Linked DNA regions of Astyanax mexicanus. The main gene of each other region encodes a partner of the protein of the gene in region 2 in a complex. Links are inferred from orthologs where the notes say so. Each region holds a gene or a part of one and is shown on either strand. Other genes may lie near its edges. The genes, in order: riox1 and rpl8.

Region 1 (16,128 bases), on a different chromosome or scaffold from region 2:
TTTTGCACATGGAAATTTTAGCCAAACACCACCGTTCACAATCATTACCACCCACTGTGCTATTCACTGTGGCTTGTAATGACTTCCATTATGCATTCTCTAAATACCTTTTTTTAAACTTAAATAATTTATTTCACCTTGCCATTAACGCACAATTTTTTTTCCTCACAACTTTAAGATCAATTAACATGCTGCTATCCCTTATCTCAGTGTATTTGATGTTGTACATGTGTACATGAATATTTGATAATAACCTCGAATGAGTTTCAGCCAACAAGATGATGATTACAAAAAAAAATAAAAAATTTAATCTAAGTAGTAAAAGTATAGACCTTATTAAGGGTTACCTGCATTAAGCATGGGTGGTAGACAGTCATGAAGGAATCCCAAGGCTTTCTGATCCACAGCTGCGTCCACTGGAGCGTAAGACACAAGCTTCTTCATTAAGCCGTCCATGTGGGAAAGAAATCTGTCTCTGCGTGGATCCTCCTGCTTTCACACACAAACACACAAAATGAATGTGTAAGTGATATGCAGTTAATTAAGACTTTAAACATATTTCCCTTGTGTGCATGGATGCATCAGTGATGTATTGGGATTAGTCAATAAGCCCTCACCTTGTCAGAGTTTTGAACTCCCATGAAGGAAAGGTAATCAAGCGGCAGCCCTTTTCGAAACTCCACATCCTCCTCCATCGCCATTTCCAAAGCTGCTGGCATCACCTGTCAATCACAAGGGATAAACATAAACACAAGTTCCAAAGTCATTAAATAAAATATTTCCACATCATTAAATGTTAAGCATGACACTAGACAATCTCTCTGCTATGTTTTCAGTTCATTTGACTGTGCTTTCAGTTCTGCGGCCTATTAGATTTAGTACATTTCTGGACACAGTGGCATATTTTGGTTTAGCACACTATTCTTAATTATAATTTTCTACCAGCTCTTTATGCATCACCTTAATTTAACCCACTAAAGTCCACAAATTTGCTGGCCATCTCAAAGTCTCTATTTATATCTTTGCAATAATACAGTGCAGAAATATGGTTCAAATATTTCCTGATCATATGGACTCTGCTCTTTTAAAGGCATCATTCCAAAATAGCAGGTCACTGTCAACCAGAGCTATAATGCTATGATGAAGGGTTACGGATTTCTATTGTGCCCCAGAGCCTAATTTTTAATTTTAATAGTTTATTTAACAGGGACAGTGTACATTAAATAGCATTACTGTAAATGCACCAGAATTAGCCTAAAGGCTATTTTTCATCCGTTGTCCCCGGACAGATCTGGAAATTCTTTTCTATGCTGAAGAAGCATGTTAAATTAAATGGCTGCATCTAAAGTTATTTCACTTTTAAACTAAACAAATCAATAAGTGCTTAGATATTTTATGAGAGTCTTTTATTCGGTTTCACACAAACGATAGACAGATATGGACCAATTAAGAGATAAGAGGAAGATGACAGAGACACACAAATCTATCAGTTGGAGAGGAAGAAGGCAAGTTCCTTATTGGCACTGCATTATCAGCAATATGTTAACAAAAGCATCAAAAGTACCGCATCTGCAAATTTGTCATTCTTTTAAGGCTAATAGCTTATGTTTTTTTCCTGGTTTCTGACAGATTCAATCAAACAGCAACTTGCAATGGACTTTTTATTATTATTTATAAAACAAAGAAAAATCCAAAATTGAATATTTCCATTTAAGCTCACCTTAAGTAGCAGGTCACCCCAGCTGTTCCTCTGATAGGAGGAGATGGTAATGTGTAAAGAATGAGCATCTGGGAGACAGTTGCCTTGGTGAATGAAACCCCGTGGAAAATAGAGCAGGTCACCTGCCTCCAGAACCACGTCCAATATGGGCTTTCCAATCTCATTCTGACTGAAATTAGCTTCAGAGAGCAGTAGAAATAAGAATTATACAAAATCACATTTCTTCAGTGTTCAGTTACTAAAACTTTACTTAAAGATTGACAAAGATTTTTACCAAAAATAATAGTAAAAACTGAAGAACTACTTACGACTTGACACGAGAGGTAGTGTTTCATCTTCAGACCTGCAATACAGCAGAATGACAGTTTTGGAGCCAGTAGTTAAGATACCACTAAAACAATGCCATTGAACAGCTGATCACACTTGGAGGAGAGCACTAACTGCTAGTTATTTTACATCAGCTAAGAGACACCTGCTCTGACTAGCACCACACTAAGTCCCATCCTTCCCTATTCAGAGAGAGATCTTTGCAAGCTCCAGCAATCTCTCAATGATGCGCCTGATGCTTTTCTTTTATTTCAAAAATATATATATATATTATTGCATTTCTTAAAGCTCTAATACATAATGAAGTTATTTCACCTTGCATAACTTACATAAACTGTGACATCCATTTAAAGCAGCAGACCATTAAACCTTAAGATTTTGTCTTTCAAATTTAAAGCATTTAAAGTGTTTGCGTGAGAAAGGGACAACATTTTTATAATAAATAGCATCAGTGTGCTTTAGCTACTATTCCTGCAAAGCCCTATATATATTAATTTTATAAATAGGGAGTCAGGTAAGTACTAAGACATTTTTCTGGATAGAACTGATTTTGCTGGTTACCTGAGCAACCATGGTGGTGCTTATGGTGCTGATACAAGAGCTACTGTGACCATGGAGATATCAGAACAGCACATCCAGTCTTCATCTGCTCATTCACTTATTTATTCATCTGTATCTTTTTGTGGGCCATCTCCTACATTTTTCTTGCACTTGTTTTTTTCTTTGAGGTCACCATATAACCTTTGTGTTGGTTTATCTACCAAAACATTGTTATCATTAATTTTGACACAATAATTTATTTTTTTGCAATTTTGATAAAATTCCAAAACAGTACTTTCAAATCTGTCTGTTTTTGCTGTTTTTCTTAATGTATGGATTATGAGAATGGAAAATTCCTTTCAGCTTCGAAACGGTAATATATGGTAAACATATACAGTTGCTCCTGTGAGTGTCTTGTGACTCACCGTGGGTTATACACTCTCCAGTGCTTCTTCCCTTCTAACTGCACAATAAATGCTTCAATGTCATCATAATGAGGAGCAAAGCCTTGTGTTCCTGCTGGAGTCAGGTATCTGCAAGTAATTAATATTTAAAATATGAAAATGTGAGTCAGATATATGATTTTTAAAAACAGACAAAAAACATCTATATATGTCCCTCATATGAGATTAGTTCTCTTACACGTTGGCTCCTGCCATGCTGCCAAACATTTCCTGCAGGATGGACAGAACATTCCATACAGTGGAAGAGAAGGCTTGAGGGTTGAGCATCCTGAGAGAACAGCCACTCTGAGAACAAAACAGAACAACACACACATTAAATACTGTCATTAGATATGTGCTAATATTTAAAACAACACTGTTATTAAAATGTAATATATTACAGAGAGATTGTTGTAAGAAAACACAGCTGAGTATTATTTTATAGGCAATGACATGTAGGGGGTTTAGCATTTCAGTTTCTGACATACACACACAGGTTAGCCTAGACGCTTTCAGGGCTGGTTTTGACCGTGGCCTTTCTGCTGACGAGTGCAGCACACTGAGTGACTGACAGAGTCAGAATCACTTAGCATCACCGAAAGCTGGAAGATGACGTGACTGGTTTCATTTATACAAAAAAAGTCATCATTATCTATAATTCAGGCTGACATCAAAATCAGCTCCAGCTCTGTTCAGGAGTCTGTGGGGTCTGCTGCTGGAGTCTAATAGCATCGCTTATTATTCAGTATGCAGAAAATACAGTAAAAATATATAAATAAGGTTTGGAAGCACTGAGCTATGAAGCAGTGGAGCAGTGGAATGTTCTCTGTTGAAGCTTCACCCAGTACTTCTGGGATGAGCTGAGGATGATGTGGCGTGGTGATCATCCAACATCCTGACCTTACTTGCACACGTGTCACTGACTGTAAACAAACCCTCACTCTGATAAAAGAAGGATACATCATTTTTTCACCCTTCATTTAAAAAGACAAAAAAAACAACAACTTTTGACCACTTTGTGGCTCATGAGCATGTTTTATTTGGCAGAAAATTACCAGGGGTGCCTAATCAAGTGTACTGTTTTTGGGCACCAGCCATCCAAAAACTTTACACCCCAAGACAAAAACTTAGACCCCACTAATGTAGAGTATGTGTACATCCAAAGTATCCAGAAATTCTGCCAAATCTTTTTTTTTATATATATAAAATTTCTTTATTGAGCAACAACAATACAAAGACTCAGAAAAGATGGGGCGGACCCAAAACATGAAACTGGCTCACTTGTTTTACAATTTTCAAACCCCACCCACCGCACCTCCCACTTCTCCCTCTGCCAAATCTTTTAGCTGTAATATATATAGTATAATATATATAGTATATATATAGTATAGTATAGTATACAGGTGCTGGTCAACGAATTAGAATAATTTGAAATAGTGCAATCATGAAATTTTTTGAATGCATTTTTTGTGCAGAAAGCAAATCAGGTGTTCACCGCACCTGTCCTACTCGATAGACTAATCACAGAACTCGTTACCTGGAAAAAAATTTGCTCAGCTGAGCTTTCCAAAAGGCCCATTTAGGCCATTTAACTGTGGCACTGTTGTTTTATTGAATTAGAATAATGGACAAACCGTTTCATTGAATTAGAATAATTTTTATTATAATTACAATCATCACTTTCTCAGTATTTTGTGGCTGCCCCCTTGGCTTGTATGACTGCCTGAAGTCTCCGCGGCATCGATTTGACCAGCTTGTCGCAAGTTTCCGCACTCACAGCTTCCCAGGCAGTGGCGATGTTCTGCTTCAGTTGGTCCAGCGTAGTAGGCTTTCTGTCGCGAATTTTCCGCTTGACGATGGCCAAAAGGTTTTCAATGACATTGAGGTCAGGCGAGTTGGCCGGCCATGCCAAAACTTCAAGCTGTTTTTTAGTGAACCAATCTTTGGTCGACTTTGCCGCATGAGCCGGTGCAAGATCCTGTTGAAATATGAAGTCTTCTTCGCAGAACTGTTCCTCAACAGTCGGAATCAGGAACGTTTCCAGAACATCTTGATATACGGCAGCATTGACGGTCTTCTTGAGGAAGCAGAGTTTCCCTACACCTCGAGCGGACATGCATCCCCAGTCCATAATGCTCTGGGGAAACTTGACGGATCTTTTCACGCACTCGTGGTTGTAGGTTTCGCCACCACGACGCCAGACACGAGGACCTTGGTCACCGAAGGAGATGCAGAAGCGTGATTCGTCACTGAAGACCACTTTCTGCCAGTCTTCAGCAGTCCACTCGCCGTGTTCTTTGGCCCACTTCAGCCGTTTCTCCATTTGTTTCTTGTTCAGCATCAGTTTTACTGCTGGAACGCGAGATTTGAAGCCGAGTTCGCGCAGACGACGGTAAGTGGTTGATCTGGAGACGTCAGCGCCGGTCTGCTTGTTCCACAAGTCGGTGAGCTCGGGAGTGGACTTGAACCGGTTGCTGACTGCGATCTTTCTCAGCTGCTTGTTGTCGCGAGCAGAAGTTTTTCGGACGCCGGAACAGTTGGTGCGCTTGCTGCAGTTTTTCTTGAGAGCTTTGCAGACGGAAGACTGGCTGATGCCGAGCTGCTCAGCAATTTTAGTTTGGGTCAAGCCTTGTTGGCGAAGGGCTTGAATTTGAGCCACTATTCCGGTTGAGAGGTCACGCTGCTTACCCATGATTGATTTTACAACTTAGAAATTCTACTCAACCCTGACTTTATACTGCACAGTGAACACTCTTCACAGAAAACAAAAATTCGAGCATTTATTCTAATTCAATGAAACGGTTTCTCCATTATTCTAATTCAATAAAACAACAGTGTCACAGTTAAATGGCCTAAATGGGCCTTTTGGAAAGCTCAGCTGAGCAAATTTTTTTCCAGGTAACGAGTTCTGTGATTAGTCTAACGAGTAGGACAGGTGCGGTGAACACCTGATTTGCTTTCTGCACAAAAAATGCATTCAAAAAATGTCATGATTTCACTATTTCAAATTATTCTAATTCGTTGACCAGCACCTGTATATATATAATATATATATTAAAAGAGCGGAACCAAATGAGCAAATGCTTTTTCCAAAATCTGTCTAAAAAAATCAGCATAAGATATAAAGATACAAATATAAATACAAAACGACAGCACTGCATCTTTAATTGTTTTCCATTTACTAAAGAGATTAATTTTTTCACACATTAAGTTTAATTTTAAAAAAAGTTTGAAATATTCCACTTCAGGAATTTGTATAGAAGTCAAGGTATCCATATTTTAGTAATCTGGCAAATGGCAATGATTAAAGAAGAGATTCATATATCAGAACTGTAACATACCTCATAAAAATCCCACACAGTATATGGCAGGGCCCTCCCAGGAGGATTGTGTGTCTCTCTTTTGCCATTTGTGTAGCTGGTTACATCTAGATTTACCCCAAACTGGACATTATCCTGAGTCAACATGAAGAAGATTAATAGAACCACACATTATACAATTAACCATAAAAACTATTACTGTTTCAAGAAGTGCTAACAAACACAGGCTATATTTAATTGCAGATTAATAATCCAACTAACAGATCAGAATCAAACCCTTACCATAATGTCTTTCCAATTTGATACTTTGTTAAATGAAAGAATATGCAGCATACAAAAAAATGACTTTTTAAAAACATGGACAGTGCAATGCAGCACAGCATTCAGGTTTAAATGTAGTTGTTCATATAAACTTTTCTATATATGCATGCACATTAAAAATCAGTTTTTCAGAGAGGGATCAAGTCTAGTCATAGACTACATTTTCCTTTCAAGGGAAAATCTACATTCATAATGCTGTGTAACCAAGACTAGGCTTAATCCCTATCAGGGAAACTGAACAGTGTTATACTGAACAAAACAAAAATAACTGAATGGCTGGATTTAAACTGCAGAAATTAGTGTATATGTGAACATTTCATTTAGGAATTTCCATTAAAGCTACTTAATTTGGAAAGACTAGTTAACATGTTTGTATTTGATTACACAGACATACTTACATTTCTCAAAATTTTGTCAAACTCCGCTGTTGAGAAAAGTCCCTGGTAATACTCTTGGTTCTGTCGTTTGATCAAAAGTGGCTTTTTCTCCCAGTAGTCCCTACAAAAAAAAAAGAATGTAATAATCATAACATGTAAAAAAAAATCTGTGCTAATCTGCCTGGATCAGCATTTCAGAGACTACTGGGGGTGGGACAATACATAAACAGCAATATATGCTGTATAACATTCTTGTTCCATACATTATTGATATGGTATGTAGTGTCAAACACAGATATTAGTTATTTTGTATTTGTAATCATAGTTTGATGTCTTTTTTTCCTATAAGCTTATATTACCCAGTTTGAAAGATTTTGGTGTAGTGTAGTTGTGTAAATTCTACGCATTTTAACTGCAGCAGAAATGTTCTAATTCACGTCAGTTTATGGCTATTTTACAACACTGGAATAACGCTACAGGTGAAAGAGGTTCAGTCAGTTTATTTGTATTAAAGAGACATAAGCAAACCAAGCTTGGCACTTTGTTGTACATTGCTTTATGTTGGTTGTCAAATTCTGTGAAATTAATGCCAATAAACACATAATTCTGTGTCGCAAAATGCAGTGTCTTAAAATAGTTATTGTGAGCACTGTATGTAATTCCCTGTGTTTCCCATCCAAATAGAGTCTTTTTAAGTAATATAGTTAACTATATAAGAACATATCCGTCAAATCTAATTTAACTTATTCAATATCCAATAACTGACAGAGTATTACATCCATTACAACATTAAAAACAAATGTTGAAATGAAATGTAAATGAAACAATAGCCTGCGCATCACTTTAAAAAAAAGAAAAACTAAAAACCGTAATCAAGAATCGCTCATAATGATGGAAATTATTTTCTTTTTACAATATCGCCCAGCCCTAGTTTAAAGGTTGTGTAGTTGATCATTTAAGCCTCTAGACCAAAATATTCACAATCACATCTCAGACCAAAACATGTGCTTCATATTCAGCCACACCCTTCCATTCAGCCACGCCTCCCTCCTCCTGTTTGCATTCTCAGTGCTGTTTTGCTGTTAAGCTACATAACAGTTGTGCAGTTTTACCTGAAGAAGGTTTTGGCCGGATGAGGATGGATTATCCACTGGAAGAGTCTGCTGGCTCTCTCTCTGCTGTTGCTGACTTTGTTGAGATTGGTAAGGACTGTGTGAAGACTCTCAGCCTTCACTGGCCCAAGTCCGTTTAACGGACACTGCTCCTCCTGCATCGCAATTGCGTGATTAGTTTAATGCATTCAAAAAGCTTCAAAACGCTATAAATGGTGTGAAGTTGCAAATACTTACAGCTGAAGCCTTTTCTGAATTCTCCTCCACCTTTGCCTTTTTGTTGAGAGTTTTAATCTTTTTCTTGGCTTTCATTTCTGGTTCTGTATCATTGTTTTTCCTCTTTTTCTTCTTCTTCTTCACTTCTGCAGCAGAAACCTGCAGAAATCAAGTAAAATTCAGTTGTTTTCTAATTCCTGATAAACAATGTTAATGTATGTTTATATATCACAGGGTTAGAATCTCAAAAGCCAGTGTAATTTAAATAGACTGTCCTAATTCACTCCATTTTTATCTAAGGTGAATTTTTATTATTGTGTAAAAAAAAGCTGCAAATATTTAAATATTTAAAAATAAATAAATAATTAAAATACAAATTATTATACTTTTGGGATTTTATGAGTGTGGAAAGAAATTGAATTCCTTCTCATGCCAATTGTAGTCGATCATATTGAGCTCTTAATTACTTTCTAATTCATAATTTTTTTGTTGTTGTTGTTATTTAATGTTTTATGGGTTTTAAAGTAACTGTAATGTACATTAAAATAACACAATCAATCTCTTAACAAACAAGCACTAGTGTTACAATCACTAAAAGATCCTATGAAATAAATAAAGCAACCAATGCAGTAGTATGAGAAATGTTACATAGCTACAAGTCAGTCAGACTTAAATATTCTACTCTCTTGTCCCACATTTCATAGTAGAATTTATATTTTGGGTTAAAAAATATTTTGGTTCTGTTTTGTGGGTCCAGCTCCTGAACTGATTGGCTGTAGCTCACACCATTTACTTTGGGACTTTTAGATTTTTATTACACAATACAAGTTTTTAAAAAATAACTGTTCTCTGTTTTATTCGTTGATTACATTTATCACTGCGGAGATTTAGTGCTTTATTTTACAGCAAAATAATACAGAAAATGTGAAGAACAAAACAAATCTTGGCTGGAGTAACTGGTAATGAAGTTCCTCTGCAGGTCTAGAGGTTAGAACTCACTGGTTCAGCTGCTACTTTTGTTTTTCTATTCAGGCTGTTTTTGTGAAGGTGTGTCCATGTGCTGTACTTATTCCTTATTTAAATCGATGAAACGTTAACTTTCAGAACTCTTTATATTAATTAGTTAATCGAGTCACATTTCTTGCTAAAGTTACCAGACTAACCCAAGCACACCTTTATACACGGAGACACGGTGTATTTAACGCCTTAAAGCCCCCTCTGCTCATATTGTAAATGACAGTGTTAGATCAGGGTGTACCTGTGTCTGTGCTGAGCTCTTTGCCAACGACTGATAATAAGCGAAGGCAGACATGCTTCTCTCCACGCTGCCATAAAGCACTACACCACGAGCACAGCACAGCAGCAGGGCAGGGCTCAGCGGAGCTGGGTTACCAGATCCCGCTACCAATTCCCCGTTGAGGGTTTCAGTCATTTAGTCATCAACTACATTTTTTAATACAAATAGTGTAATTAATTCAATTTTCAAAAATAAAGTTTAACATATATTTTAACTACTACACTAACTATAGGAGTACTTTGATCATTTCACCATTGTGAATTACTTAGTATGTGATTCATCTTTTAAAATATATTTCTAATATATAATTTTAAATTATGGCTGTATGATATTGTAAAAGCCAATATTGCAATGTTTTGTTGTTCTGTCACATATATTTCGACATTAAACAATTTTCACAAGATTTCTCCAGATGTCAATGATCCAATATGATATACGATATCAGTTATGCCCTCGGAAAAACACTAAAATGTGCAAGGAGGAGATGTGTCTGCACAACCAGGGTTGAATGGGTTGAAAAGGGTTAAAGAAACAGCTTTAAATTAAAGCAACCCGTATCGTGGATTGATGTACTAAACCTGGCAACCCAGGCGGTGTGTCTCTCTCTCCGTGTAACCGAGCATGAGCTGAGCATGTGTTACTGCCGCCTGCTGCTGTGGAGCACAAAAGGGGCTTTCATCCTTTTCCCTACATAATGTTCCAATGTTATCTTATAGATTCTGTACTGTAAAAACACCATGTTAAAAAAAAACCATAATATCCACTTTATTAAATCATAGCATTTAAAAAGAAGCACAAATACACTCTATCGTGTTTTAGTACAGTTAGTGCTACTACTGGAGCTGGTTCATGGAGAGCCTGCGCACTCCCTAGCTGTTATTTTAGAAAATTACCGCACACCACTAGTGGGAGCCCGCGAGTAAGTCCTCAATGGGGATGAATGAAGCTGAATGGCTAAAAGCTCAAATTAAAAACAATAATTAACTTTTGCCTGGGATATTTCTTTAATTATAGAAAGTAGAATGATATAATCACCAAAAGCCAAAGATAACTTTCTACAGCAAACGATTTTTGAAGAACATTATTTATTTATTATTAATTTATTTTGTCATATACTCCATATACTGCAGTGCATTTAAAAGGCTTATAACTGTTTAAAGGGGCCCTGACTTTTGCTGACTTCACCTCAGCCTAAATTTAAAAAATGCTAAAAGAAAAAGGAGAGGTTGTTTGAGCGAGAAACTGGGTGATGTATAGGTTTAGAGGCAGGGTAGGAGGGAGAGATGATTGGCTGAGCTTCAGCAGCATTGGCTACCGGAGCCCTGAGAGAGCACAATTGGCCTTGCTCTCTCTGGGAGGGTAGATGGCGCTCTCTCCGCACATCACTACAAAGGGTGATGTCAGTTGGCACAAGGCGTCTGTAAGCTGATGTTTTGGGACTAAGTCACTCCGAGAGCGCTAGATTTTCAGCAATGCTGCATTAGAAGCAGTTAGAAAAGCGGCGATGGCTGACTTCACATGTATCGGAGGAGGTATGTGCTGATCTCCACCCTCCTGGTGGGCATCGGGCATGATAGGGGAGTCCTAATGGTCATGTAAATTGGGAAAAAATGGAATAAAAAATAGAAATAAAAATTACAAAAAACTAGCACTATAAGCCTGTTAGGTGCATCAGCTAAAAGCACTGTATTTTGGAAAGCTGGGGGAGAATGAAGGAGAATGAAGTTCGTACTCGTTATCATGTTTTACTACAGCCCATTTCCATTTCACACTGAAATTCTCCTTTAAATGTGTATTCTTTTCTCTAGAGGTCCTCCGTTATGAAGGGGGAGGCGTGCGGGCACGTGGCCACCATGTGGCGCTAGTGCACCATGCTGTAATGCTCAAGCAATGCAAACAGTGGCCGTTCCCAGCATGCACCACCGCTCGCAGTGTTTGCAGAGCTGGATCTAGCTATCTAACAATGCTGTGCGGGTCCGGGGAGAAGCTCTGGGAGGTTACACGGCTGGAGGAGGTGTAAGGGCTGGGTGTGAATCAGCTCGTGTGTGCTCCGGGTCGTCTGTACGGTCCGTGATCTGCGGCGGATCTGTGCGGAGACGTGGATCTGCTGCTGCTGCAGCGGAGCTCCTTCTTCACACACCGGGGTAAGAGAGACGCAGCTCACACACATCTCCTCCTTCCACTGCTAACGGGGTTAGCTGGGCTAGTGGTGGCTAAGCTATCTTAGCTGCTTCTGTGTTATTGTTTAGCCTGTTGTTTTAGATCCTAGAAAACCTTAAACCCCTCAAACACGAGCCGGAGGAGCGCGTTAAAGCGCAGCATATGGTCTTGTGTGAACGAAGCTGAAGTTGTCTGCTTGTTCCAATTGTTCCGTTCCACCTTAAATGGTGCGGCACGTACAGCAAAGCGCCCGAGGCACCTCACCGTACGTGCCGCACCATTTAAGGTGGAACGGAAAATTTCTCAGAAACAGCCGAATTCAACCCAGTTTATCACCATTATCTCGCCATTTTCTGTCGTTTCAGTTGTTTTGTGGTTTAAATCAGAACGCGAGACAGATTAATACTTAATCTGAAGTGTGTTTTAATCCTACAGACCCAATTAAATCGATGCTGCTTCGCGTTAAAGCGGCGTCTGGCTGGATTTGACGTTCCTGTAGCTTTAGCTCGGGTTATAACTAACCTGCGCACAGCGACCGGAGAGCAGACCCACAGAGACAGATGTAGCTCAGGTATAGACATTAAACTAACTAACTAGAGTGTTTAGGAACAGTCCAATAATTCGGTTCAGATCTTTACACACATCTGTAGCCTTCCACTGCTGTTAGCGTATTGCGTGTCTTGTACTCTAGGCGTTTTTAGCTAGGTAGTTATCTAGATGATTAGCTATTCCGTACACAAATATTAGTACAGGTTCAGTTTTTGAATAAATCTGATTGTTTTAGCTCTTCACACATCTTTACATATACAGCTCTAGAAAAATTACTGAAGACTGTGATTTTGTTATTTATAGGTATATGTTGACTAAAATGAACATTGTTGTTTTATTCTATAAACTACGGACATTTCTCACAAATTCCAAATAGAAATATTCTTATTTAGAGCATTTATGTGCAGAAAATGAGAAATAGCTGAAATACCAAAAAAAGATGCAGAGCTTTCAGACTTCAAATAATGCAAAAAAAAAAAATCCTATTCATAAAGTTTTAAAAGTCCAGAAATCAATATTTGGTGGAATAACCCTGGTTTTTAATCAGTTTTCATTCATCTTGGCATGTTCTCCTCCACCAGCCTTACAGCCTGCTTTTGGATAACTTTATGCCACTCCTGGTGCAAAACAGTCGAGCTTGGTTTGATGGCTTGTGATCATCCATCTTCCTCTTAATTATTTTCCAGAGGTTTTCAATTTGGCAAAATCAAGGAAAAACATAATCATAAAGTGGTCTCTTATTTTTTCTTCCAGAGCTGTCCTTTGAATAATAACATTTGTTTAAAATGAGTGCCAAGCTGTAACAAATAATAGAAGTGTACCTAATTAACCTAGGTAGTTAGTTAGTCCTTTATTTAGAGTTGTGGGTAGGAGACTTTTTGTGGAATTCGTATTTACTTAAAGTGTGAACGCTCTTCAGAGAATTGGAGAGTTCTGTTTCATTGGTGTTGAGATATAGTTTAAGAACTGTAAGCACAGTTCTAGCAATTAGCAAAGTGTGATATTGTTATTGTATTAGACATTTTTGCGTATTTTCCAGCATGTGTATGTTATGTTGGAAATTAGTATTTGTTTATGCATTCTTGGGTCTGAATGTATGAAATTTCCTAATTTGTGAAATGAGTGTTTGTTTAAAGTGGCTCTGTTGAACATTTAGAAAATGGTTCTATTTACTGTGAGCATTTTGCTCAGAACTTAATTAATTCACAATTGCTCAATTTGAGCATTTTAAATGTATATATTATGTAACAAATATGAGCCGCCTGTTCAGAATTTATGAGCATTCAATGTAATATAAATTTTGAGTTAGTTAGTTAGTTAGATAGTTAGATAGTTAGCTAACTGAACAGATGTAAGATTTAAGTGTTGTCTGGACTGAGCTTCCTGTTTTTTTTTTTTTTTTTTGACTGTTATGGCAGCACTTAATGCAGCTTGGTATGAGTATTCTAACAAAATTAGTTTGAGTGTTCTTTTCAAAGTCTGCATTCCAGGTTGCTTTAAGAATTAGTGTTATATTTATAAACTCTTTAAATGAATGCAAACTCAGCTAAAATGTTAGAGTTGAGAGCAGAAGACAACAGTTCTCAGGTGCTCTTCATCCCTAAAGGCGCATCCAGATCACTGCGCCTTATCTGTTAGTTCAGCCCCTCTTGTTTACAGCAACTGAAATGTGTTGGCACATGTCAGCTGGGTGGGAAATTTGACACGAAGTTGGACACAGACCTGGAAATATGCATGGAATTTTTATGTCAGTGTTCTGTGATGCAGGATTTCAGTGATTTGTAAATATGTGTTTATTTGTTATGTTTTGGTAAGGAGTCACAGGTTTTGTATTGATCGCATAGTAAAAAAGTTTCATTGTTCTGCAGGAGCTGTAGTGATTCTTTGTACCGCAGCTCCTGGAGTCATTGATCACCGGGGGCTGTCCATCTGCTGCGGCACACCGGACGCATATATTCATGTCAGTAGGCGGAAACATTTTATATAGCACCAGATGAATAATTGCACAGTATTTATCTACGAGGAAGCAGGACATCTGCACAAATTCCAACCTCTGAAAAATGCCCTGCTGAAGTCAGCTGTGCTCAAGGATGAGTCTGTGTGAGATAAATGGTGGTTCTTGTGGTGTTGGCACGGGGCTGAGCTGTGAAGTGTGTGTGTGAGAAAGAATTTATTCAGGCTTAAACTTCAGCTTTAAATATCCCAAACTGCGTAAGCCACTTTTTTTCCCTTCCTAACTGCCCCCCATCCCCCGTTCTGTTTTCTTTGCTTCCCAAACACATGCTCATCATATGTGATGGCAGCAAAGTGAAACTGGGCTGGTCTTTGCATCACAAAACTAGGAAAAGCACAAATTCTCAATTTACTTGTTAATACTACTGGATAATGATATGTAGACTAATAGCATACTTAATGCATACATTTGTTTTAAAATTGCATATTCATGTTGTAAAATACTAATATATGTGATGATCATTGTGAATGTGTTTGAAGCTATAATGATAACTTAATGCCAACTTATATCATCATAGATAGTTCTACTTGTAAATGCTAATGTAGACAGTAAATTTGCAAAATGTGAATTTATTACGTGTTATCATTGTTTTTAGCATTGCGGTTATGGTCAGATTATGCTAGACCATGCCATCATATATGGTAATATAATCAATGGCATTCGAGACTTTGGCCACTCCTGGTCAAAAACAAATATATATATTTTGAGATTTTACAGTTCAAAATACCAAAAAGGAAACTGGCCTGAAGCAAAGAATTGGGCAACCTGCATGGTCAGTGATTAGTAACACCCAATTTGGCAAGCATCACAGCTTGTAAATGCTTTTTATAGCAGCCAAGAGTCTTTCAATTCTTGTTTGTCTGTTTGTTTGTTTTTGCCAATTCTCCACTACTAAACACTTCATTCTGTAAGGTTCTTCTAGCTGTTTGTATGCACTTCTGTTTTGAGGTCTGTCAGCAGATTTCCGAGGATGTAAAGTTTGAAAGACTGTGAGAGCTTTTGCCAAACAAAAGTTTGGACCTTTAAAAGTTAAGTTTAGAATCATTATCCTGCTGTAGAGGCCTTTACGAAAAAAAACTTTTTTTCCCTTTACAACTGAAATGTTTACTGTGGTGCAGCACAACCCCAGAGCTTGATACAGTCAGGAAGTGAAATTTGCACGCACTGCACCGCATTTCTGAAGAAGTTGAGGGATATATCACAGAAAGTAAAAGATTCACGTGGACTTGAATGTTAGAGTAATAATACAGAGTTAATACAGGTAGTGCAACTAGCAGCCCAAAGTAGCAATAAAAGAGATGGTATTCTTCCTATTACAGGCCAAAAGAACATCAGTGTGATTTGATGGTGCTTGTTTAGACGTTTTATCAGTATTAAAAGGTTGCCTTTGTGCAGGCAACTAGGGAAACATATACCTCACTAAATTAAATATCAACCATTCTAAGGTGGGTTATGATCAAATCATCAGTAAGCATAATAATCAGCACTAAGCATGACTGGCCTGGATCTTACAGTGTGTAAAATTGATTTGATTTTAAACAGATTCTTTACAATAAATGAGTTTTTATAAATCAGCGTTTCAAACAGGGGTGCATGTTATGGCTGAAAAAAAGCAATGTACGACAATGCTGTTGAAAATCCTGATTAAATTTGGATTTTTAATTAGTTTAAGCTTCTCAAAAGATTTTTTGGTAATTGGGGTGGCTGCACTTGTTTTTTTTCCCCAGGGTAA
Region 2 (16,128 bases):
CAGCAGCAGCACACTGTAAGATTCGTATGCCCCGGCCACACTGGTGCCATCTGCGTAACCTCTTGGTGTTCACAGGGCATGGTGTAGCCAAATCCATTACCTTCTCCCTCTAGCAAGCAGAAAACACAGCTCTCTAAATAACTGTTAATCTCTTGTCCTCATCTCAATGTTTTTTGAACTCAAACTGTTTCTTCCTTCCTGACTCCAAGTCTTAATGTGTCACACGCAAAGTGATCGAAAACTCTAAGCCTTGGCTATAGTGTATTTGGTGACTGTCCTGTTAAAACCTGTTAAAAGTGTGTGTGTTCCAGTGCTATTTTTGTTTTGAACGTTTATTTGTTCTGATGTCTAACCTTTAATTAACCGGACACACACTTACCCAAAATTGCATGATGACTAAATAAGCTTGATAAAAGCTTTAGTGTTACAAATCAGATTTGCTTTATGACTTTTTTTGCACATAGATCAGTATTAAATACTGAACATAATTCATACTGCATGCAGAGAGAAGTGACTTGTTAAATTTTAGCCAGCTCTTTTCTGTTTTTTTGCCATGTTACCTTAAACTTAACATCGCTTGTCATGTTGAACAAGTCCTGTTAACTTTATCGTCCAGTGTGGTGTTTGTGTGTGTGTTGTGTATATTATACCCTCTTTATGTCTTCTTGTTTACCATTGGTTCCATGTGATTTAGCTGTTTAATAGTAGCGTTGGTTCTATTTGGAAGTCTAGTGTTTTAATGTTAAACCCAAATATACTTAAACATGTTCATCTAATGCCAGAGAAAAGTTTTAAAAGTCCAGAAAAGTTTTTTTGTGTAAAATTTAGTCAAATAATATACGTATTGTTGCTGTCACACAAAAAAAAACTTGTATTTTCAATGGAAGTCATTGTAAAAATATTTTATTCCATGAATAATACTGGACAGATAGAATCTATCTCTAGTAGATTTATAATGGGAAATGAACAGTGTGATTTTTTTCTTTTGCAAAAAAAAAAAAAAAAAGGAGTACCCTGAATTGATAATTAGAGGTATAATATTGTTGGCAATATTCTAAAATGGCAATAATTTTGGGCACGATTCGATATGGCACACCCCTAATTCCAAGTCACTGGAGCATAAATTGTACCATGATAATAAATGGACCAATAATAATAAAGCACAACTGCCAGATTAACATGCCTTCAAAAAGTCAGTATAGGCATTTTTTTGTGTGACAGTGATGCATTTAAATATATATTTTGAAGAGTATTTTTTGCCAAGCTCTTTTTTTACATGTCCTCATACACACACACAGGCACACGCCTTCTAGAACTAAGTCTTAAACATATCTTTCTAAAATGCTCTCTTGTGCTGAAGTTTTTTTTATTGACAAGCTATTGTTCTTTCAGGAGCAGGATGATCAAGATGCCCCTGATGATCAGGAATCTTCTCCACCAGAGGATACCTCCCTCTATCCTCACTCTCCAGGGACCCAGTATCAGCAGGTAACACTTTTTTTTTTCTCTTGCCCATAATACAAGCTGGCTTGCTCTAGGGCTCCCCCTATGGTCAGAAAGTTAGTTCACACTTTGAGACACCACTAAAGGCTATTTTCAAACTGTCAGCCTAGATCCGATATTAGGCATACATGCATTGTATCCAGATTGATTTTTTGATAGCCTGGACAGTAAAAAAAAATATATATATATAAATTCAGATTTTTACAGATCTAAATCCCATAGACCGCTGCAGTCATACATCATTTTGTAGTCCCCATATTTGGTGTTCTGTGTCTAAACTCAATGAGCAGAATGAATGGGCTTTTCAAAAAATCACCTCTACCACATTCTGTGTGGTACAGTATTCTCCTGAATATCACTGGATCCTCTGAAATACGAGATTTATTGAGATGTTTTTACAATAAAGCTATAATTACGCTAATGCTACATCACACTGATCTGACAGTATGAAACAGTGACACAAAACACCAGCAGACTTTTATAGATGTAGCACCCAGCAAATTCCTGTCATATTGAGTATTGGATTATTATTCTTATTCACAGAGGATTATTAAAGTAGTCAAATGAGTATTCAAATTCAGATGTTGAAAAGTCAAATAAGAAGAGATAGTGAGCAATACCTGCTGGAGGGACCTTTTTTTTTTTTTTTACTGGTTTTATTGTTTATTTATAGTACAACTAATTCAACCAATCAATGAACAAGCCCTCAATGAGGTGAGCTGGGTGTGTTACAGCAGGGAAATGCTGAAACAAGCAGGACTGTAGTACCCCAGATCCACATTCTGCCCATAGAGAAATTCCTCTTAGACATCGAAAATGCCAAATATGGACAAAAGCAACATGGCTCCAGCTAAAACAAAAATGATTATGAATGCAATGGTCTATTTAGAGATGCAATGCCTCATTTTAGGTTTTTTTTTGGTCAGTTGCCTTTATTTATTTATTTTTTTTCGTGTTTAGTCTGTTTTTGGATGTTCGTATTTAATAAATTCGAACATCGAATTTATGTATGGTATTATAAAAATCATAGTTACATAATTGCTTGGTAGCTACACAAACTTTATCACTTCATTAAAAACTTATTAAACAAATGTTGGACATGGGGTAAGGGGGAAATGTTTTTGGGTTTATGTGGTCCTTAATAGAAAAGCTGATTTTAAAGTGAGTTTGATCTGGTATTTGCCTTTTCCAGCAGAACAACCTTCCACACGGCCAGCCGTACACAGGCCCAGCAGCACAGCATATGAACAATCCTCAGCGCCCCGGCGTACGAGCACAAGAGAACTGGGAGCCCACGGAGGAGGTTCCACCCGCCCAGACAAAAGAATAGCACCGCGCTTCGACCCTGTCCTCCACCCGAGCGTTCTCTGGAGTCGACCGATCGACGAGCGAGGCCAGGCCCCACCATGCAGCGTCACTCCAGAACCCGCGTATCCGGAAAACTCCGCTCCCTGTTCTTCTGACCCTGGGGTGGAGCATTCACTGTCTGCCCTGCAGTACTATAACCCGCCTGCAGTGGACTGTGTATGGTGTTGTAATAAGCCAGGCCTGATGCACTTGTCTATTATGACAGCGATGTACATATTAATGTTTTTTTTTTTTTTGACTGTTCAGAACCATCAGCACCTGCTGTTTGGAAACTTGCGGATTTATGAAAGCAAAATTGAAAACTATAAAAACAAACCAAAAAAAAAAAAGACAAAAAGTAAAAGACAAAAAAAGAAAAATCCAACCCTGTTTTATCACCTGTACTCAGTTGTGAGGTGTGGTCTGCCTTTTGGCCATTTTGGTCATTCAGCTCTAAGTCATTTTATCCACGTCAACTCTTACTTAATCTAATCCGCCTCTGGAGCTAGAGATGGTTGTAGTTGTAGGCATGATAAGGATGGAATGGATGGGATTGGAGGGGATGGGATGGGTGATCCTCCTGATGCTAGGCTGATGTGAAAATGGTGACACACCAATGTTTTGGAAACTTACATTGCCTTTCTTTTGTTCTGGTATTAATTCAATCATTTGACAGCTCTAGTTAATATGCTGTAACATTTTTAGCATGGCTTCACACCGGACTAGTGTAGCCAAAAGGGAAAATTGGGATCATAACAGCTGCAGTTCTGAATCCACAGCTATTAAAGAGCCTCCCCCCTCCCTCATCTAAGACTTCTACATTGATTTTTAAACCAATGTAGGAATTAAGTGGCTTCTCAATTGCACATATATATTCTCAAACTTAACATTTGGCAGTCAGTTTTTGGTGGGAATAGATGGTTACTTTTTTTTGTTTTGGAATTTATAGGAATTTTAGAAAGAGAAAATGTATATGCAAAAATTTGCTATGCCGGGATGCCTGGAGCATTAGTGGACTGTACTCAATTTGCTTGTTTGTCTCTCCTTGGTTGAACCTTGTTTTAGACAAACTGGAATTAAAATAAATAGAAAGAAAAAGATTGACATTGGCCACTAAAGTTGACAGCAGATGCTGTCTGTTCACATTTGCTTATTCTACTTGAACATAGGCTCCGTCTGGTCTGGGGACTCTCTTCATTGGAGCGGAATGGACATAAAAAGCACGGTTGTACCATAATATAACTGCTGGTTAGTCGTGTGGCAACTTGAGCTAGGTAAAGTACTATTCTCTAGGAGTAAAGGTAAACAGCAGTCAATACTGTATGTAATTGGTAACTTGAATGCTTTTTTTTTTTTCTCTTCGATTGTTAAAAAAATACCAAATACTCCTGCAAATGAAACTGTTCTGCCCACCATATTATATTTAAATATTTTGCTGTTTTATTTTATAGAATTTATTTTGTTGTATTTCACTAAAAGAAAAATAGAATTTGATTTAAGAGGAACATTTTTGTCCTTGTGTTATTTTTAAAGATATTGACTGTACAGAGTTTTTCGCCCTGTATTTGTTTTTTTGCGCCGACTTCTGTTTTGGCCATGGTGACAAATTCTGGAGCCACAGTCGCGATGTTAACTTTCACTTTGTGAGTTTTTTTTGTGCACAGATACTACAGACAGCATTGCGCCCTTCAAGAATAAAGAAATTGAATCTTGAATGTGGTGTGTCTCCTTAAAAGTCTGCTTAAGTATTTACAAGTACTGGTGGAAACCACAGCAAACATTTGCAGTGTGCACCTTTTCTGCTTTAAGCAAGATCAAGAACCAGTGAATTTAGCTGCACTAGTGCAATTTTCTAAAGCATGACATATTTTCCCCTTTTGACAATTGTCCACTGTCAGAAACTTGGACATCTTTCCATGCACTTGATTTACACTCAAGACTTGTGGAAATCCTCCAGTAAAAAAACTAAAATACCCACTCAGAACTTCAGAATTTGAGTTTTAGAAAAGAAAACTAAACAAGGTAGTCTTTTGATGGATATTTTATTATGAAGAGACACTTTAGTTTTCTTTGTCCTGGACGGTCTTTGTTCCACGCAGTCTGCCAGTACGACGAGCAGCGATGAGACCGACCTTGCGTCCAGCGGGCGCGTCCCTCCTGATAGTTGAGGGTTTGCCAATGTGCTGATGGTTACCACCACCGAAGGGATGCTCAACAGGCTGTAGGGGTGAGGGGGGGGGGGAAAAACAGGCCAGTTAGTACATTAGTGCAGAAAAAAAAAGTTTTTGTTTTTTCTCTTTTCCTCATTAAAACCAACCAAATACTTACATTCATAGCCACACCACGGACACGAGGCCAGCAGTTTCTCTTGACCTTGTACTTGTGGTAGGCACGTCCTGCCTTCAGTATGGGTTTGTCGATACGACCACCACCAGCAACAATACCTGTTGAGCACACAGAACAGTGAATGTTTATCCTCCTGTATACTTTAGAACTGGTTTAAACTCCATCTCACAACCCAGCACTGGTACTTTAAGTTTGTAAAGTGCCAATGTTGTTGCAGTGTTATGTGCACCTGATTCAAGTTCAATAGATCAGTAGAACAGCATGTGCTGCAATGATCTTCCTACCAAAATCTCAAATTCATACTAAAACAGGATTAACCCAACGGTCAAACTAATTATTACAAATGATTAACTGTGTAAACGATTATTTTAGTATTTTTGTCCTGTTTAATTTTACTACCTTGATCTATTCTCTACAAGACAGCCGATGACAAACTTTCATATATATTTCCAGATGCAGATAAAATGTTACTTGGGTGCTTCATTTCTACTTCAACAATGTGGTTTATCCATCACAGTACAGCAAACCTTAAAATCATATAAGGAACATAAGGCTGCTCTAAATCCACACTTATAAAGGGCATATCGACGCTGTCCAATAAAAAACAAGCATCTGCAGAACAGCAAATTTATATGAGAGAGGAAAAAAAAAACTTTCAAGCCAAGTCAATGTAAAAAGTGTTTTTCCCAGCTCATTTTGAAGTACAGTTTGTCTGTTCAAATTAGTAAACAAATTTGAAAAGATGGAGATACTCGTTCTCCATTGGACAGCGATGATATCCATTGCTAATATTTCAGCTGTGAGATTCAGACATTTCTGATTGGACCTTATTTGACCCTTTCCTGATAGCATCTGAAACAACAAAAAAAATGTTGCTAGATCTGACTTTCTCCTGATACCATTCAAAATGCCCCTTTTTACTGAGGCCCAATAGTGCAAATGAACACAGATGTCCAAACAATAGTAATAATTCTCAATGATTTAGCACATCTGAGCTCCTTAAAGTCAAGCCTATATGTCCAAGCTAACCCTAGTTATAAACACGGTCATTAACCAAGACTGAAGTACGTAACCATGCCTTCCAAAACCTTTCCAAACTACTCACCGACAACAGCTCTGTTAGCTGAGGAGACGACTTTCTTGGATCCAGAGGGGAGCTTGACTCTGGATTTCTTGGTCTCTGGGTTGTGGGAGATGACCGTGGCGTAGTTTCCGGATGCGCGGGCCAGCTTACCCCTGTCTCCAGGCTTCTCTTCCAGACAGCACACAATGGTACCCTCAGGCATGTTGCCGACAGGCATTACATTGCCAATGTTCAGCTGGGCTGTAGGTCATTCAGAAGAATTTAATTTTACTAACTTCTCTGCTTACAAGCAACATGTAACATACAATATACAAAGTGATTGCGAATGAAACATACAGAAAACTGGGGAGCACCGTTTTACCTCTCTTGCCGCAGAAGATGAACTGTCCAGTGTGGATGCCCTCAGCTGCAATGAACAATTCAGTCCTTTTCTTGAACCTGTAGGGGTCACGGAACACCACCTTGGCCAAGGGGGCTCCACGGCCAGGGTCGTGAATGATGTCCTGTATTAAAAAAATGAAACAATAAAACACTTAGGGGGTTTGTTTAGGCTTAAAACTACTAATGTCTGGCCAACAATACAGGACAACTACAATTATTTTTTTCTTCCTGACAACCACAAGTTTTTTTTCCTCCATTTTTTCAGTGATTGAAAACTACAATCTTTCCTAATTATCCTGTAGTATGTGGTTTCTTCAGCCCTCCAATCTTCTCCCAGAGCAGTTATTCAACCCCACTTACATGGCAGAAATTATTAGCACTGTTCACTACATTTCAGCCATTTTTTAATCAATACCCCTCTCTTTTTCTGGTGAGAAAGCAAACGCTGTTGATGAAACTGAGTGCGCCTGATCTAACAGCATGCAGTTTTTACATTTTAACATCGGTCAAGATCTAGAAAATCCTGTACTACAAGCCAGACAAAGGCCAGTAACAATGAAATTACTCATTTGCACACATTTACATCCATTCTTACCTTCACAATTCCCTTAATGTAGCCATGGCGCTCAGCAAAGTCAATGTGTCTGAGCTTAGCGGCACCTTTCCTGAGCTTGACGTGGGCTTTGAAGACGGAGCCCGCACCTTTCCTCTGAGCCCTGATCACACGTCCCATTTTCGGGTTCTGCAGGGGGAAAAGGAGAGGTCAGATGTTTGAGTTAATGGCATTCGGATGGCAATCTTAAACTATTCAGTGCTATACAGAAAGAGACCGATATGTTTTGCTCAAGGGCTCCTATTGGCATGTGTGAACAACAGGTAGGAACTAAATTAACCCAGAAGAGCCTAGATCCATTTTAAAATATTGATGCCAAATTATGAATTGAATCGGCTCATTTGTGGGTTTTTTTTTAATTTATTTTAGGCATGACTTGATATTTTCAAGGTTAAAACGCTGTTGTGACAAATGACAACTGCATTTAAAAGGGTCTGTGATACAGGTCACTATGGGCTCTTTTGGATTAACAATCCCAGAAGTGCTTCTGGTCATTTTATTCTAAAAACCTAGCTATATGCTTATTTGGAGTTTTATCTATTAACGGTATAATATTTAGTGAAACATATAAGCCTACTGTCTGTAAACAAATACTCCTGACTATATTTAATATATATTTATTTAATACAGCTAGCTAAGTAACTGAATTCAGGAAACACACTGGTAGTCAAGCTCCATGCATCTAACTTAAACTGTAATTTAAGTTCTGTGACAGACTGCGTATAAACAATAATTTATACATATACACATCTCTCTCACTATATACTATGTGTATAAACAGTAACTGTTATATATACACGGTAATTAATTACATAAAAGATAAATATATTTAATGCAGCTAACTCAAGCTAAGTAGCTAAGTTGACTGAATTCTGAAGTCTCACATTGGTTAGCCTAGCTCCATACATCTAACCATGACTATTATAATGTATGTTTGGTCACACACTAAGCAAAGAGCAATATAAAAGAGTATATAGACTTTATATTACAGTAAATACATCAGGAATTGAAGGCCATCATCCAGTAAAGACATAAGGGCAGCCAACATTAACATTAGCTCCTCAGCCAGCTCAGTTAGCCTAGCTATAACCTGCTATAGACCTAACTTACATACAAGCTTAACACTGGGCTCTACACGGTTCTAGTTTAATTTACACAGCCTGTGCTCCATTACTAAAAAAGCACAAGGCTAAATAAACACCTAAATTAACTGAAAACAACTCTAACAACGATACAAATACTAACACTAACACCGGTCTCTCTATATCACTACTAAGCGCCTCACAGCGAGGCCTTGCCGCGTCTACACTGCAGAACAACTCAGCCCTTAAAAACACTGAATTTAACTCAAAATCACACCGATATTAAAAGACATAAGAGGGTGAACTGGGGTATAAACGTCTCCTTAACGTTTAAAAGGTGATTTTAGGAGCGGATGGCTAAAATAAAGAAGTGATTTAACGCAGATGAAGCGGAGAGACAGAAAAACAGCGCTCTTACCTAAACTCCGCTGAGGGGAAAAGGAAGCGCAGCGGGGAGAGAGAGAATTTCTTCCGGAGACGAAGAGAAAAAGAAAGAGGAGGAGGAGGAGTGACCACAGCGCCTCTCAGCGGCCTCCCTCATATATATACACATACACCACCTCCACCTGAGAGGGGGTTTAATCTCTCCACCTCCTCCTTCTTCTTCACATGCACCATCCACTTTACAGCTCCACTGAGCTTGCACCAGTGCATCTTAAAAAATAGAATATCATTAAAAATCTACTTTATTTCTGTAATTCAGTGTGGTTGGTGTGGCACAGTGGATAACACCACCGCCTGCTTATGAGCTACCACATCATATGAGAGACTGAAGTTCAATTCCCGGTCTGGGTGACAATGCTTTACTACATCAATAAAAGTCCTTGGGCTAGACTCCTAACACTACAACGCATCCCAACTCTGTAACAGGAATAACCTTGTAAGTAGTTTAAAATGTTAAACTCTCTATATATTAATCTCAATGTGTTACACACACGATCTATTTTAAGTGTTTATTTCTTTTGTTGTTGATGATTATGGCTTACAGCCAATGAAAACCCAAAAATCAGTATCTCAGAAAATTTGAATATTATATAAGACCAATCGTACTTTTGACAGTGTGGGCAGTGTGCCAAGTCCTGCTGAAAAATAAAATCCACACCTGCATAAAGATTGTCAGCAAAGGGAAGCATGAAGTGCTGTAAGATTTTCCAGAAAAAACACTGCACTGACTTTAGACTTGATAATAAAACACAGTGGATCAACACCAGCAGATGACATGTCTCTCCAAACCATCACTGATTGTGAAAACTTCACCCTAAACCTCAAGCAGCTTGGACTGTGTGTCTCTCCGCTCTTGCTCCAGACTCTGCTCCCTTTATTTCCAAATAAAATGCAACATTTACTGATGATCAGTGATTGTTTGGAGAGACATGTCATCTGCTAGTGTTGATCCACTGTATTATATTAAGTCGAAAGTCAGTGCAGTGTTTTACAGCACTTCATGCTTTCCTCTGCTTCCAGCAGGACTTGGCACACTGCCCACACTGCCAAAAGTACCAATAAAAAGTATTTTCTGTTAAAGATGTCATTCCGCCTCAGATTTTTACTAAAAGCTGATGAACACTCCCTAGTGTAATGCTGCCTACGCAGACAGGATTTTGAGACAGGAAGCCACTGTAAAACAACTGTAATCTGGCCTTCCATTTTTTTTTGGGTGAAATTCTAACTGTGAATGAAAACACAGTTAAACCTTGGCAGCACCAGAATGTACGGTTTCCTTTTGAATCAGATACAGAGACCTTCATAACATCACGTCATTCAAGTGAGACTGTGTCGGTTGCAAGGCATTTTTTATAATGACAGAAATCACAGTTTTCACATTTTATGGACACAAAAGGAATAGTTTTTGTGCAGATATTATGTTTCTGTTTCTAATCAAATTATTATTTAAATTAAGAATCTTAACTTCAAGTTAAGATTATATATATTTTTAAATGTAGAGTGATCTGACGTTCAAGTTAAAGTATATGAAAATGCAAACATTTGTTTTATTGTAACTTTAAAAATATCTCTAAAGTCTTAAAGTCTTAATATATATATATATATATATATATATATATATATATATATATATATATATATATATATATATATATATTCTCAGTGGGCTGGGATGGCATTGAAACAGTGTAGTGTAGTGTAAAGACTGGACAGTAGAGGGCACTGCTGGATTATGATTTACCAAATTCATCTGTTTTCATTTTTTCAACCTGTGTTTGGTCTCTCTATGCAAAACCCATTAGATTTAAAAATATATTTTTTCTTTATAGTCTGGATCACTTTATAGGGAAAAAAATAAAAAGATTAAATGAGAAGGTACTGTATATAATTATTTTTGTATTATTTAATACATATTTATACACTATAAGAACATGGTACAAGCTATAAGAATATAAAACAAACAATACATGCTCATTTTACTTAAACATATACCAATAAATAACAAAATCAGAGAAACTGGTTCAGAAAATGAAGTGGTCTCTTATTTTTTTGTCCAGAGCTGTATATCCTTCAGGAATCTTGTTATTAATCTAAGTGTGGATATGATGAAATATCACTGTTAGTAATCATAATAAGTACAGCAGCTCCTCGTGCTGTGTGTGTATAGGGATTGTGTTTAAAATATATATAAAGTTGTATATTATTAAACTGTATTTAAAGCTGAAGTCTGTAAGTTTTGGGATTTGGGGGATTTAGTGCCCTCTCTGGTGAGAATGCGTAATTGCACCGAGCATGCGGAAGAATCATTTTAAACTGAGTGGGTGTGATGCTGTCTCCTTTCAGAGTGAATGAATCCGATTCCAGGTTATGTTCAGTCAGAAAATGCTGAGGGAAGTGTCTTCAGAAGATGTAAGAGAGTTACAGTTTTATATATGGATGTTAGTTTTGTCAGTGTAAATGAACAAGCTACTGAGCTCTGGGTTTCCCCTTCTGAAGTCTCCATTGCTCCACCAGCCGCTCGCGTTCAGTAAAACTGAGCCGGATCCTCTTTTAGAGGCTGAACATGTGACGTAAGACGTAAAGATGAGTGGAGTGACTGTGCCAGAAGAACTCAAAAACCGCAAAAAGCGACCCAACACCACCGTTTTTAGAATGAATATATTAGGCTTAGCAGGGATGGTCGTTCCAACACACTGGTACATTTAAACACAATATTTTGTCCCTTCTACACTCAGAAATGCTTCTGCTTTTAGTTTAGAAACAAAATAATATGTACTGCCACTTTAATTAGTATTTCTGTTTACACAGCTCTCACACAGCTCTGTTGCTGGGTAGAGTTCCTCTCGCGATATTTCTATATATCCGTGTGCTGCTGCAGCAGCCAATGAAATCTCGCGGTGCTTGTGTTCCGAGAACAGAACGTCGCGAGGCGCCGCTGGTGGACAAACGAGCCGGTTACAGTTAAAAACCTGCCGCGCCGATAAACTTCGGGCTCGGGTTTTATTATTATAACCGTCGTTATTATTGATAACCGAGGCTGTACGTAATAAATTCGTATTAGAGGAATTGAGTAAAGGCGCTGGGCTCGGTTTTTGCGCATTCGTTGTGGAATAAACGAAGAGAAGAGGACGAGTGACGTCGTTTCTAAAGGAGACTTGGCTGTAATCCCTGCGCTATCTTTAGGTTAGCTGACCTGCTAACAAAGAAAGTCTTGTGTCAGAAGGAGAAATCCCCACTCATTTTCTTTAGTTATGAGTCATGTGGTCGTCGACAGCTCACACGGTCTAGATCAGCAGGTAAGCGGGGTCATGAACGTCGTGTAGCGGCTGTAGATTATTCAGTTACTCGCTAATTTTGCACTTTATTTCAGCAGGATTCTCTATCGGCTGTCTGCAGCCTTGTCGGTGTTCTGTCAAATTGTGCTACTCTGTCAAAACGTGCGACCATAACATAGTGAAGTTAGCTATATAACCTAACCATTTAACGTTAGGTAAATCTGCCTAAAAACAAAACAAACAGTAACGTTAGGTAGTTAGCTAGTTAACCTACTTAGCTATGATATTTCAACATCAGCATCGTGTCAGATTCTCCCAGCTATAGTTGTAGTTATAGCTATATAAAAGGTGTTTATTGTTTAATGACTGACTGCACCATCTATGTTAGCTAACCTACTGCACTGTTCTAGATTGTATCATAGTTTTATAGCTACCCTTTATAGCTATATGTGCATATATCAACTCATATCCAACCATTCCTGTGTATTCGTTCCTTGATGGTAGCTGTTATCTATTTAGTTAGCTAAATACTAACCTAACTATCTAGTTTAATTGTGTTTTTTAACGCTCTATGGCATGATATTATTACACCACCCCATCCCATACCTTATTTTTGATGTATGTTATGATATTTCTGTTTGTTTATATTCTTACAATATTCTTACGTTCTTTTAACATTAACCACGTAGATCACGTTTGTAAGGGACAACAATATAAAGCAGGGGTGGTTAATATAAAAAAAATTCCAAATAGTGGTGCTATTTTGTTTCCTTCCTAAATATACTGTTCATGCAATAGAGGGTTAAGCTACTAGTTGCTTTAATTTCCTTCGGGATCAATAAAGTATCTTATCTATGTATGTGTCTTATCTGTTTATCTAGCTAAAACAATTTTCATTAGATAAGCTAACCTATTTGGATAACATAATTCATCACTAGCTTGATAACCTAACTATTAAATATTTTAGTTTGAATTGCCATTTGTTTTAACGCAAATCAAGCCAATGCTAGTTGACAACAGGCAGAATTACACAAACTGTAAAATTAATTCAAATAAAAGTGAAATATCACACAACATAAATAAATATGGGTGTGCGCATGCGTAGAGCTGCTAAGTAGCTCATATCAATAGATAGCACGACTCGACAAAACACCGGGAGGCAGTGTCATGTTTCTTGTGCAGATGGTTTAGATAGGCTAGCGTTAGTTAACTAAATTTAATTCTGACAATTAACATAAGCCTTGTGTAGTTTATCTAACCTGTCGTTAGCTAGATAAGCGTATTTAACCTAGATATCTGCTCAGAAAATCGAGCTAACCTGGTTTCTTTAGCCAGGAGTTGCTGAATGCTGGGTTGCTGGGTTAACTTTGTTGTGAGCTGGAAGATGTGTTTTTGTCTCTGCAGTCACTGCAGTATTTCGTTAGTAAGCTGTCATAACAGATCTGTGGTGATCAGGGTTAGAGAGGAGCTGGAATAGGATCAGTGCGACAGGCAGCTACTGAGTTCACCCCCTCCCCCAACAACATCTTGTCACCACCACTACCACTACCACCACCACCGTTCGTCGGACATTTTGTTCGCCTGATTATTATTACACTGTGCAACCTGCAAGGAATTAAGGCATATTTAATGATTTTATGATCTATCCGTGCATATTTAATCTGATGTTGAATGCAGTGTTTCTAGCTAATCGTTTACAGTGTTATTCACTCAGCACCAGTCAGATCACAAGCAGTGCACAGTGTATGCCCAACAGTATGGCAGGCCGTTTCAGCATAAAATCACTAGGGCTGGATAATCCAGGTCCAGAAGTGAAAATCCACCCCAGGATTTTGTTTCAATTACCTGGACACGAGACCAGACTTCAGCAGGGCGCGCGGGCAGTTGGAACAAAATATGGAAACCCTGAAATGGATATTTACTTACTGGACCTGGATTATCCAGCTGTAAAAAATCACACAAGCAATACTAGTCAAGTCAGCTTTTACTATAGTTAATATAAACTCAAATAATACTATGTAATTAGATCAATGTAATTGACTTTTTGAGTTTCTTTTTTCTTTTTTTTTCTTTTCTTTTTATGTATTTGCTAGTTATGTCAGTAGTTATGTAGTTTGTCTTCAGATCCATAAAGCTGCTCAGACTAGTCACATTACCAAGATGACACATCCCTAATGCAATTAATGCATTAATGACTAGTCATATAGTCATATGTAACCACATCTTTTACCAGTAAAATAATGACCATGTTGTATTGCTTACTGCTGTAGCCTCTAAAAATATTATCACCAGTCAAAATATGAATTGTAGATATAGCTGATATCTGAAAGGAGAGTTTCTGCTAGTAAAAATATTTTTAAAAGTAGTGTATTTTGTGTTTACAAGAAGACAATTTGAAACAGTGGTGTAATTGTAGCCTAAAACGTTCTTCTGTGCAACGCACTTCCAATGCACGATATTTGATTTTTTATCTATTACTGCTGCAACATCCATCAGAAACAAAACCTCAAATTGTCTGTAATCAGAAACATTTGTCTGTTTAGTAAACAACAGTATCTTGCCAAAAGATACAAAAAGCCTATCGAAATACTAAATTGCAGAATACGTAGTGTGTGCAATTAACTGCAAACATTAGAAATCATACAAAATACATAAAAGCCTCACATTACCTTTCAAAACAAATGCAAAATTGGTTTTCAAGAAAAAAAACAAAACAATGTTAGTGTGTCAGATTTGTGTAATATGCAATATGACAGACCCCTAGTTCCAACAACCTGTGTTGCATCATTTGTTGACAAAAAGGCTAGCAGTCACATGTGATTCAGGCAGGTTTTGGTGTCGGTGAGGGTCATGCTTTTGCCTAAGGTTAATGATGGCGTGTGATTCTTTTATATATGCAAACAGCAGAGAAGCCTTACACCTAAATTATAGGTGATTTAATATGTTTTCAAATATTTGTAGTAATTCTTTCTTTTGTTTTTCCCTTTTTAGCTTTGTGTTCTAGACTTGAACTCTGCTGACGTGCAGGGTGGAGGCACCGGCAGTAAGTTTCTTATTTCACGGAAATATCTCAGCTTTCATATCATCTTTGTCACACAAATACCTTTACTATATATTCATTTTGTTTAGTTTTGTTGTGTTCTTGTTGTTTAAAGTTCTGTGGTGTATGGACCAACAGAAATGCTACAAAATGAATTGTTTTACTTGGATTTAAGTTAAAGTTGCAATTTTAGAGACACAATGTATATACATGGCAGTGACTGCATTGTTACTGCAGGACATACTTGTTATATAAAGCAATTTTAATTACAAGTACATATCATTATAAGTACAACTTTTAGCTGTTTGATACAAAAGGAAAGTCAAACTTTACATTATTAAAATAGTTTTGTTCTATTCTAATTTAATTCTGGTGGAAAATCATGCATGCATGCATATATTTCAGGGTCAGTTCTTGTGTTTAGTCTGTGTAGTAATGTAGTTATAATAAATGGGTTAGCATTCACACACAAGCTGATTTCCAGTGCAGTGATGTTAACTGACAAATAATTTACATGTTCTTTTTTTTTTCTCAGAGCGTTACATTCCTCCTCACTTGAGAAACAAAGATATTGCTAAAAATGGTAAGTGTTGTAATTGAGGTTGAATCAACAGCCATTTCTTCCTGTTTTACAATATTTTTAAATGTTAAAATGTTTCTTTTTTTCTTGCATCAAATTGTTAACTCCTGCTGTGTAGATTGCTGCATAGGCATTTTAGTAGCATGACCATCCAGTATTCTGCAGATAACCTATTCATCTATTCATCATATCAATCATTAAAATATTTTGTCCATTATAAGTAAAAATTAGTGTTGACTTCTGCGGTTTGAGGTGCACTGCATTGGTGTAATATGATGAAAGTATTCATGACCAAAGACACCTCATTCGATATCTGTACCAGTCATTTTCATATCTGGTCATGTACATGTGTATATATAGTATTTATTTTATTTTTGTATCATAGTCTTTTGATTTATTTAAGAAATTAAAATTAATCAGCATGGGTTTGCTT

The links.
Region 1: the proteins of rpl8 (region 2) and riox1 are in contact, whole or in part, in a crystal structure (PDB 4CCN), measured with the Homo sapiens proteins. The link is inferred for Astyanax mexicanus from reciprocal best matches to the Homo sapiens genes RPL8 and RIOX1. Residues at the interface, in NP_000964.1 of Homo sapiens: Gly213, Gly214, Asn215, His216, Gln217, His218, Ile219, Lys221, Pro222; in NP_078920.2 of Homo sapiens: Gly259, Gln260, Arg272, Thr274, Arg297, Met322, Ala323, Gly324, Ser325, Asn326, Tyr328, Phe337, His340, Asp342, Ile344, Ser374, Asn376, Thr419, Ser421, Thr422, Gln424, Tyr577.

What each region holds. Positions count from the first base shown.
Region 1 is NC_064408.1:84,758,951-84,775,078, reverse strand, and holds the start of riox1 (ribosomal oxygenase 1), read right to left. Parts: upstream 9,809-16,128; coding exon 9,635-9,808; intron 8,536-9,634; coding exon 8,398-8,535; intron 8,316-8,397; coding exon 8,161-8,315; intron 7,170-8,160; coding exon 7,070-7,169; intron 6,486-7,069; coding exon 6,372-6,485; intron 3,337-6,371; coding exon 3,230-3,336; intron 3,121-3,229; coding exon 3,013-3,120; intron 2,064-3,012; coding exon 2,029-2,063; intron 1,900-2,028; coding exon 1,721-1,899; intron 723-1,720; coding exon 618-722; intron 490-617; coding exon 348-489; intron 1-347. UniProt on the Homo sapiens protein: Oxygenase that can act as both a histone lysine demethylase and a ribosomal histidine hydroxylase. Specifically demethylates 'Lys-4' (H3K4me) and 'Lys-36' (H3K36me) of histone H3, thereby playing a central role in histone code.
Region 2 is NC_064418.1:5,899,426-5,915,553, reverse strand, and holds rpl8 (60S ribosomal protein L8), read right to left. Parts: upstream 8,896-16,128; 5' UTR 8,775-8,895; intron 7,404-8,774; 5' UTR 7,395-7,403; coding exon 7,257-7,394; intron 6,784-7,256; coding exon 6,642-6,783; intron 6,521-6,641; coding exon 6,302-6,520; intron 5,295-6,301; coding exon 5,179-5,294; intron 5,070-5,178; coding exon 4,911-5,069; 3' UTR 4,877-4,910; downstream 1-4,876. Other genes in the region: usp9 (probable ubiquitin carboxyl-terminal hydrolase FAF-X), read left to right, coding at 1-15, 1,393-1,488, 2,696-2,833; ddx3xa (DEAD-box helicase 3 X-linked a), read left to right, coding at 12,052-12,096, 15,067-15,118, 15,651-15,698. UniProt on the Homo sapiens protein: Component of the large ribosomal subunit. The ribosome is a large ribonucleoprotein complex responsible for the synthesis of proteins in the cell.